Oryzias latipes: one gene and its partner. The protein of the gene in region 2 interacts with the protein of the main gene of each other region in a pairwise test. Links are inferred from orthologs where the notes say so. Each region holds a gene or a part of one and is shown on either strand. Other genes may lie near its edges.

Region 1 (5,266 bases), on a different chromosome or scaffold from region 2:
TGACATTTCTCAGGTTGATGTGCTCTTTGTTGATAGAAGCTTTTGTAGCATAATGTTTATATAAAACACAGCATCGTCCTGTGACCCCGCCCCTTACCTTAAGATGTGCCATACTATACTCGACACAGGATGGAAGTGCTGTTTATACATCCTTTTAAAAAGTACTTGAAAACTATGTTGGAAAATGTACCTTGTTCATGGAGTCCCACCCGACAAAGGGTGTGGGTATGATGTGTATTTTTTTCTATAACCTACTAAAGGAAAACAGTCTGCTTGTCATTTATCTGAGGGAGAATATTAAAAGACATCTACGGTAGAGCGGTTGACCTCTGATTGGAGGATCGTAGGTTCAGTTGCCACCCATGTGTCTCAGTGTCCGGGGACACTGAACCCCACGTTGCTCCTGGTGGTTACAGGTCGGGGCCGGCGTTCGGCTGTGCGTGAATGGGACCGTGAATGCAGGAAAGTCGTATACAAGTATACACCATTTAATATCCAGGGATGTCCAGATACGTCTAGAAAACTGGATCTAGTTCAAACCAGATTCTGTTGGTAAAAAGGTATAAAAATCGGTTTCTCTTTCTGTTGTGTCTCTACCGTCTGTCTTTTTATGTACAGGTGATGCAAACAAAAAGACGTCCAATCATAAGCTCGCTTCTACTAAGCTGGGTCAGTTGCAATGGCCAGAAGGTGAACCACAGTAAATACAGGATAACCCTTTTCTTCCCCACAGTACTGCAAACAATAAAATGACATGTTTTAACCACAAAGAACAAAGATGTCTGAAAAAACCAAAACTTTTAGAACTGAAGCTGTCAGAAAGACATTTTGTTTTTTGTTGATTAAAATAAAAAATTGATGTAAAGAAAAAATATAGTTAAAGGGCACTTTCATATATTGTTTTAAAGACTCACCTCAAAAATTATGATTTTAATATGTTCTTTTAGCAGTTTTCTTATGATGATGGAGATATATACCGTATATATATATATATATATATATATATATATATATGTCTATAAAGTTAAAGCTTAAATTATTTTATTTCTTTAGCTCTCAGTTGTGACGTAGAAAATGCCTTAAGCTCCTTGCTCTGCTCCATTCTGATGCATCCACTTGTAGACAAACCGATCCATGAACGTCTTTTTTTTGTCCCCGTCTGAGCTGGAATCTGGATCCGAACTGTACGGCTGGATAGCTACGATGTTGCTCACTGTTTTTGTTGCACCGCTAATGTTGGGTCGGGTGTGTTAGGGAGGGGCTGTAAGCTAGAGGGAGAGCACAAAAACAGGACTCTCTGCAATGGGGCGGGAAAGTAGTAACGGGGTTGCTCTGCGCCGACGGTCCCGCCCACAACTGGGAGGTGAATTTTTAATGAACTCCTGCTGCTCTGCAGAACCTATGTCCTAAAAAATGATAAAAAAATGTGCATTATCATAATTTAAAGATCACTGGGAACACTTTTAAAGTAGATCAAAAAAGGATTGGAGTGGGACTTTAAATGCCAAGTGAATGATAAATATCTAGATTGTGTCCATTTAGGTAAAAGAATTGGACGGTGTTGCAGAAAAAGTTAATTGAATCGCATTGATTTATGAATAATGTATTGAGATGCATATGATGTCATGAGAGAGGGAAAGATACACAACTCTGCAGAAATCTGTATGGTTTCTGAGTATATCAGTGACTTTTCAGCTATAAAGAGTCAAACTTTTCAAAATAAAAGCAGACAAATCTGGAACACTTTAGTTCTTAAAGAAATGTCTTGTTGCTGTGGGATTGAATCATTTTAATGCAAAGCATGAGTACAAAGATCCGCCTGCTTCACTGAGGGATCTCCCCCCCCATTTAGTTTCATGGCAAAAAACAACACAGAGTTTCCAAAAACGGCGTCAAAAAGAGGCTAACAGGTATAAAAAACACACACACAGCACAGTAAGCAAATATCCAACAGCAGCACACTTCAACAGGTGATTTATCAGCGACATGAAGAAGCCGTCCTCACATTCAGCCAAAACAGAAACATAAATAAAAGCCGTACGGATAATAAATTAGAGGAGCTTCAGTCCAAATCTGAGCGACCTTTTACAGCAGGGATGTTCTGGGATTGCTTAAGAACACACGGGAAGGAGTGGAAAAACTATTTTCCATCTCTGTATGTGGCTGCTGTTAGTTATTGGCCTGCAGCTCTCAGATTTACACGACTGCTGCACTCAGAGGGGCCGAGGCAGGAGCCGACGTGGAAACTCTGGGACAGAGACAAAAGTGCACGCCATGGGATTAAATAACAACAACACTCAGTGCTCAACAGAACAGACACGAAACCACAACCGCCTCCCAGGAGTGGGCGGAGTCTGATCAACACGGACTCTACTAGCTCACTAATCGAAACACAAAACACTCGTTTTTTTTCCACAATAAAGCAAAGAAAGTCTTTAGTTCTTCACCACAGCGGGTCCCTTCATTTTCTGATCATGGCTGACGTCAGGGACGTCTGCCTGGATTCACCTGATGAGACAGGAAGCAGCCAGGACGCCAGCAGCAACTTATATTTGAGGACGCTGCAGCTTCTGTTTTGCTAAGTCATGCTACCAATAAGGAAAGAGCGATTTTCATAGCTTTGAAGTTCTGATTTTCAGTTTCCAGTGCAGTGCATGAAGCTGGAAGGGGATTAGGAGAAGAACCTACGTGTCTGTGCTGATGCTGGACAGTCAAACCTCAGACCAGGAGAACCAGAGAAGCTGCCATGATGGTCCAGAACCGTCACTGATGGTTCAAAACTTTGGCCTGGGTTCAAAAACACTGAGCCAGGAGAAGCTTTGTGTTCTGACTGACAATGGAGACCTGACTGGACGTCCGCGGGTTTAGTGCTGAAGGCTCCATGTGTGCCACATCTCCTGCTGGGAGCAGAAGTGCATCACTTTCTGGGAAGCAGAGCTGCCAGTCTCTGCTTCTTGATGGGAAGGAAGTGGATCTCCTGCGAGCTGACCTTCTTCAGTTTGATAGCTCGACTTTTAGAAACCTTTTTATGAGGGTTGTTTGGGTCCTGCTGCTCCCTGTGGGACCCTGACGGGACCCCGTAGAGCTGCTGCAGCGACGGCCCCTGGCTGCCGTCCCGTTTGATGGAGAAGTTTTTGGTGGAGACTCCGGACAGGCCTTTGATTTTCCCGCAAAGGATGGCGGGGATGGCGTCCTTCACAGAGACGATGACCTTGGCCGTCTGCGAGGCGCTGACGATCTCGAGATTCCCGGCTCCGCTTAGAGAAGCCTCCTGCGCCAAGGAGCTGGACCCGGTGGCACTGGTGTCTACCACCCACTTGTGCTGCCGGCTGAACTCCAGGGAGGCCAGACTCCCCAGGAGTTTAGAGTCTAAACTCTGAGAGCATTCCACACCCAGAGACAGAGCAGCTCCTCTTGGGTCCTGCAACCCCACCTGCCGGTCTGCTTGAAGAGACTTTTTCCTCAGACCTGGCACTGACAGGTCCAGAACGCTCTCCTGTTGTGGACTGGGATACTCCTGTTTTGGTTCAATAGGGCAAGGCCTGACAGAAAGGTCCAGAACCTGGCCCTCTTCCTGAGCTGAGGCGGTGGCGCTCTGTGGCTGGAAGGACGGCGGGCATTTCCTCGAGGGTGGAGGAGGAGAGGTAGCATCTTTGGCGGATGTCTGGGTGCTTTTATTCACAGTGCAAACGGGTTTTGGCACGTTCCCCTTTGTGTCCTCCGTCTGCGGGATGGGAATGGGAACGGGCAGAGGGACGGGTAGAGGCACCGGCAGGGGAATGATGACGGGGTAAGGGACTAAAATTGTGGCTGGTGGGACCAGGGGGGCCAAAGCAGGTGGATAGGGGGGTGTGAGGGGAGGCAGGGAGAAGAAGGAGGAGCCTGGCGACTGACAGGTGGATGGACCCACCTGCGGAGGGAAGAGGTCCTGGATGATGGAGGCGAAAGCCGGGTTCTGCAGCAGGGACAGAAGGTTGGCGTCCTGAGCCTGCCCCGCCGCCTTTGGGTCCACGGCTGCGGGTAGGCCAAAGGTCAAGGGGTTCTGACACAGAAGGCTGTTCTGGCGCGGCAACTGCGTACAGCCGGGGCTCTGAGGGATCACAGAGTGACTTATGTGCTGGATGACCTGCTGGTCCAGAACCAGTGGAAGTGAAACTGGGCTTTGACTTGTGATCAGATAGGGCGCTCCCCCCACCTGGCCGAGCTGAGGGGCGGAGGCTCCAGCCATCTGAAGGTGGATGGGCAGCATCAGTGGGCTGTCTCCCAAACACACGGGGTGGATGACAGTTGTTGCCACTTTGAGCGCCACTCCTCCTGGGGGTTCTGGGTTGGGGCTTCCGGCTGGCGGTGCAGGGTTGTCGGCATTGTTGCTGAGGCCCCCTTTGTTGAGACCCGCCATGCTGTCGTCGAAGGAATCCGCCGCCAGCGGGTTTCCTCCGTTCTCCGCTTTGCCAAGTGGCTCACCGACTTCCTCGGCCTGCGCCGCCGTTGTGTTCAGAGCGTCGTCGTCCATGATTTAAACCATCGAAGAAACGCAGAACCTCAGGTTTCAGAGCGACCGCTGATCCATCACTCCTGCTGTTAGGCCCTGAAACCAAGGAGACGGAGATTCAGGGTGAAAGCAGCTCAAAACTAAGAAGTGGCCCCTGACATCACGGTCAAAGTCAGGATTGGATCAAATATGAATTCATTTTCGCACATTTCTTTTCAAAAGTCTATTTTGTTTGGTTAAAAAACGGAGTTTACATCCATCCATTCATTTTCTAAACCTGCTGAATCCCTGCAGATTCCACACACTCAGTCATTCCTAGGCACAATTTGGAGAGATCAATCAACCTATGAAGCCTTTTTTGGCCTGTGGGAGGACATGAGTACGGGGAGAACATGTAAACTTTATTTGAACTGGGACCTTCTTGCTATGAGGCCAAAACACAAACCACTGCGCCCCATGCAGCCCCGTGTTCACAGATCCAGCAAATAAAATGAAACAGAAGTGTAACTTTCAGGAATACATTCATGAATTCTTAAATAAAAAGCCAAATGAAAAGCTGTTGGCCATAAAAAATAGAAAGAAAATGGGTTTGATGGGTTGATTGTACTGCATCTTGTCAGGAAAAATCTTCATGAAATGATATATAACGCAAAATCAACTTTTTGAGATTTTAAGTGTTTTATAATGTTCATTCCTCAAAAGAAAAACTCCAAAAGTGGTATTTTGATCCTCTAAAATCCTGCTCTCTGAGCACCAGGCCCTCCAAACCGCAAT
Region 2 (4,450 bases):
GGAGTTAAATTTAATAACTTTTGATTTATATTATATTTTAAGGCACAAAGCTGAATTAATGTCACAAACTCCAAATACTGAGTGTTTAAAGGGCCTATATCATGCCTTTCTTAAGCCTTTCAGAGTAAACAATATCTGTATTTATGATAACATATCACTTCTGGCACACTAAAGAACAATTTTTATATTAAATACGAGTTTTTGCAGCTCATTTTACTATTTGGAAGTAAGACGACTTGATCTCTGAGGCTCCGCCTTTCGCTCCGCATGGGTGCCGCCCCTTTCCATGACCTCAACCTAGAGCCGGCCTCGGCAGTGTGTCCGCGTTTCACCCACGAAAACAAAAAGCATCCGAACTTTTGGATGGATGTGCAAATAAAAAGAAAGCGTTTCGCCGATCACCACTAGCTCCATGGGAAAAAAAAGTGGGCGTGTATGTTGGCGTGGGGGCGTAGCTGGCAGCGCAGGTTCTTCCTAGAAGGGGCTGTTCCTCACTATGTGACGTCACACTGTGAGGACCCACTTGTTTCTGTGGATTGGGAGGGGCTGGTGCTCAGAGTACAGAGACCACTCACAAATGCGTGAATGGATTGGGGTTGTTTTTGTGACAAATGAACATTATAATACACTTAAAAGCTGATTTTGAAAAGGTGATTTTGCATGATATAGGACTTTTAAATATGGGATAATAAATTATCAGATATTGACGGACGACGCGGAAGTGCGTCAATTTCTGACGATATCCCTTCTACGCCATGGTCACCTACAAAATAAATCAATGTTCGATCCATTTTTAAAAAAACTTTTTTCTTGTCATTTTTTCGGTTAAACACGCTTTTCACAAAAAGTGGAGTATTTGATGTGTGGTGTGGCGCGTTGCCATGGTAACAGCTGACCGTCACCAGCCTCGACTGCAGCGTCAAAAGGAAAAGCATCGGTTCAGAGAGAAAGTTCACCTTTTGCCGCTTGCTATTGTCCAGATGATGAAGAAAAAGTTTGTTTTAAGGAAGCCAACGCGGTGATATAGAACATTTGGGCTATGTAACACCCGGCAACCAATCAGAATCGAGTATTCACCCGGACGGTGGTATCATTTGAATTAAATGAGCACTTGAGGAAGAGTTCGTTTTGAAAACGTTTATTTGTGCGTCTTCAATCAACCCGATCCAGCCTCGGCACACCTTTATCCATCTGATCCCAAACACCAGATTAAAGAGCATGCAAACAAACCGGATAACTGAATAGATTGGCTCAAAGGGGACAGCAGGTCTTTTCTTGCTAAAGTGCTAAAAACAACAGAACAACAGGCTGCAAATACTGCAATACACGTCGGCAGTCGCCTGGATTCAAAGTGATGCGCAATGTGAAGCAACAAGTCCCACCAGTTCAGGGATGGTTTTGCGTTAAATTACAGTTCTGTCTACAAAAATGACATAAATGTCACAAACCAACCGGAATTGAGCAGAATTTGTGTGAGAAACGCCTCTTGGTCATGAAGAGTGAAGAGGGCGGCAGCTTCGGCACATGTCAAACACGTGAAGGGATCTCGCTGGGTTCTGTCAGTGGGCTGATGAGTTCTAGGCTCTTTCTTCCGTCACCAGGCTCTCCAGCCTTCTCTTGAGAGCCTTCAGTCAAAGTTCCTTCAACCCGTTCCTCGTCTCTTCGTTCCAGCTAAGCCGGGGATTTGACTTAAAGAAATGGGTGTTGAGATTAATTTTGGCGCCGCATGGTTGCTCTTTTAGGAAGAAGGAAAGTTGGGACTGAAAAAACAAAACGTTGGAAGTTTCAGGTTCCTTGTGTTTTGGTTTGGTCGGGGAAGAGTTCGGCTTGAAATGTACCTGCATGGATCATGAGTGCTCCTCAGCGCTGCCGCTAAAGGAGCGGCTCCTGATGTGGTTCCTCAGCTGCTCGATCAGCTCCGGGTTCTGCTGCTGGATCTGCTGGGCAAACTGTTGTCCCCTGAACAAGAGAGCAGAGGATCTGTTGACCTGATGCTTCCTGACAAATGTGGAAAAACGACGACATTAAGATTGTAGACAAATCAGTTTAAAACCCATTGTAATTATAAGAGCATTAACACTAAACTGGAGTGAACAATTCAGCTCAGAGGGGATTATTTTACAGGAAAGTCTCATTGAGCTTAATTTTAAGAGGATTTGGGTTTTTTTTTAAAAACCCAGAGAAAAACGGGTTCGGGAAAACTTGTAACGAGCCCAGATTATTTCCTGAAGCAGTTAAACTATTAAAGTCCCACTCCCATTCCAAGTGGTCTTTTAATTATGATGCGCCTTCATGAACAGTCTGTGGAAATGTCACTAATTGCATAAATGGTTGAGGAGTTTCGGTAGTTCGGAGCGTACGTTATTTAGGTGTCGCTGCCGACAGCTGTGGTGTTACTAAGACAGAGCTTCATAGTAGTTCATTGCCAAACTGTTAAAACAAAGCTGGGGAAAAAAAAATGTTATTCATATTTGAATTTACGTCTTCGACCCTAAAGTGTTGTCCGAACACTGTGTATCTCATTTGGATTCAAGGGCGGGGTACTTACGCCTCAATCAAGCTGGAAATGTCCGACATTCCCCCCACTCCGGCACCAGGACCCCCGACCGCGTTGGACATCATTCCTGACATGCTGAGCACACATCGGCAGTGATTCAGCGTTTGCTGAACTCCATCTAAGACCAACATTTACTGAGAAAGGAACTCACAGTTGTTGCACCTGTTGGTTCTGCATCACGCTCGCCGCCTGCGGACAACAACAACAAACGCAGCTCCAGCTCGTGGCGTCTCTCGGAAATGTTTAAAAACCGCACAAAAGCTCCTACCATGCTGATGAAGGCCGGGTTGTTGATCAAACTGGCCATGTCGAACCCCAGTCCAGCCGCTATCTGCGGCACACATTTACAGACATGTGATGCTCAAAGTTGAGGGTGGAAGACAAAATAATGGGTTGGAACTCACCGGGCTGGACGCTTCCCTCTGTTTCTGCTCCGCTATCTTCAGGTTGGACTTGTAGGTGTCGTTATCAGGGTCCAACACTAAGGCTTTCTTAAAGTAGGAGATTGCTTCAGGATACTTGTTCATAGCTGTCAAAGCCAAACTGCAGAAAAGAAAACCCAAAAATCCTTCAGACCAAGAAGCTATTTTTCGCCACTCATTCCGGTTAGCAGGAGAGACGCTCACCCCATCCTGCCGTACGCTTTGCTGTAGGTGGGGTCGATGCCGATGGCTCTTTCACAGTCGCTTGTGGCTTCAGTGTAGTTCCCCAGTTTGCTGTGAGCTGCAGCCCTGCAAGGACGTTTTATCCCATCAAAATATGACAACCTGCAGCCCGATACTGCACAAGTGCAGGAATCAGACTCCAAAGTACCTGTTGCAGTAATACACGGCGTTTCTCAGGTCCAGATCAATGGCCTGTGTGTAGCAGTCCAACGCACACCTGTAGTTTTCCTCCTTCATGTGATTGTTCCCTGATAGTTAAAACAAAATTTAGATCTTATCGCGATGAACAAAGAAAAAGCAGAAACTTGGAGCTTGTTGAGCTCAGGATTACATGAAATTATGCTTTTATTAGAAAAAAAGGCATATTCATGAAAAAAAAACACAACACAACAACAAAAGTAAAAAGGAGAATCTAAAATCCTCTTCAAGTTTCTTTTAAATGCCTAAAACAACCAGTTTCTGATAAAAGAGTGTTTTATTCTACTTGACTGAGGCTTTTCATGTTTCATAATAGTTCATAATAGGAACTACATTTGAATTCACAATGCAAAAAGTAACATTTTTGAGTGCAAATAAAATGGAGAATTCTGACTTTTCTCATAAAAGTAAGAGAAATACTTTTTATAAACATGATGTTATTAGTTCAATTATTTAACAAAGGGCACAATTGTGCCTTTTTTCTCTGAACATTTTGTAAAAGTCAGACCTTTTAGCATAAATGTGAAGAAAAACGTTATACTGATTAAAATAAAAAAGGACAAAAAAACTATTTAAATAATTCTTTATAAAATCCTGAGTCTGTATTTTATTTCTGAGAGTTTAATATATCTACGGAAATCCTTTTAATTGATCGTATAAATCCTGCTTTATTTTATTGTAAAATATGACTTTAGAGGGGGGAAAAAAATAAAAAAGGGGGGAAAAAAAGAATTTAAAACTGTTTTGAGTATAAATAAGAGGAGCGAAAATCTTGACATGAAATTATATTAAAAAAAACGTATTTTTAAAGTATATAACAACATGTAGAAATTTCTTTCAGAGAAATTAAAAATACTAAAAACAAAATGATTTTTAACTTGATTTTTGGCTTAAACTTTGGAGAAAAAAATGAAAATGTAAAGAAGTTCAGATTATTTCCTGTCTGGCATCAGTTCGTCTTCAGATTCATAAAGATGAAACTTCAAATACTACAGACCAAAGTATTTTGAGGGACTTAGAACTGCAGCAA

What was found.
Region 1: the proteins of sgtb (region 2) and rai2 interact in binary tests that used the Homo sapiens proteins (3 or more experiments, as listed by UniProt). The link is inferred for Oryzias latipes from reciprocal best matches to the Homo sapiens genes SGTB and RAI2.

The regions. Positions count from the first base shown.
Region 1 is NC_019862.2:28,824,723-28,829,988, reverse strand, and holds the end of rai2 (retinoic acid-induced protein 2), read right to left. Parts: intron 4,589-5,266; 5' UTR 4,514-4,588; coding exon 2,918-4,513; 3' UTR 1,772-2,917; downstream 1-1,771.
Region 2 is NC_019870.2:4,513,647-4,518,096, reverse strand, and holds the end of sgtb (small glutamine-rich tetratricopeptide repeat-containing protein beta), read right to left. Parts: intron 3,471-4,450; coding exon 3,371-3,470; intron 3,289-3,370; coding exon 3,184-3,288; intron 3,101-3,183; coding exon 2,962-3,100; intron 2,889-2,961; coding exon 2,826-2,888; intron 2,747-2,825; coding exon 2,709-2,746; intron 2,633-2,708; coding exon 2,549-2,632; intron 1,960-2,548; coding exon 1,848-1,959; 3' UTR 1,839-1,847; intron 1,761-1,838; 3' UTR 1,123-1,760; downstream 1-1,122. UniProt on the Homo sapiens protein: Co-chaperone that binds directly to HSC70 and HSP70 and regulates their ATPase activity.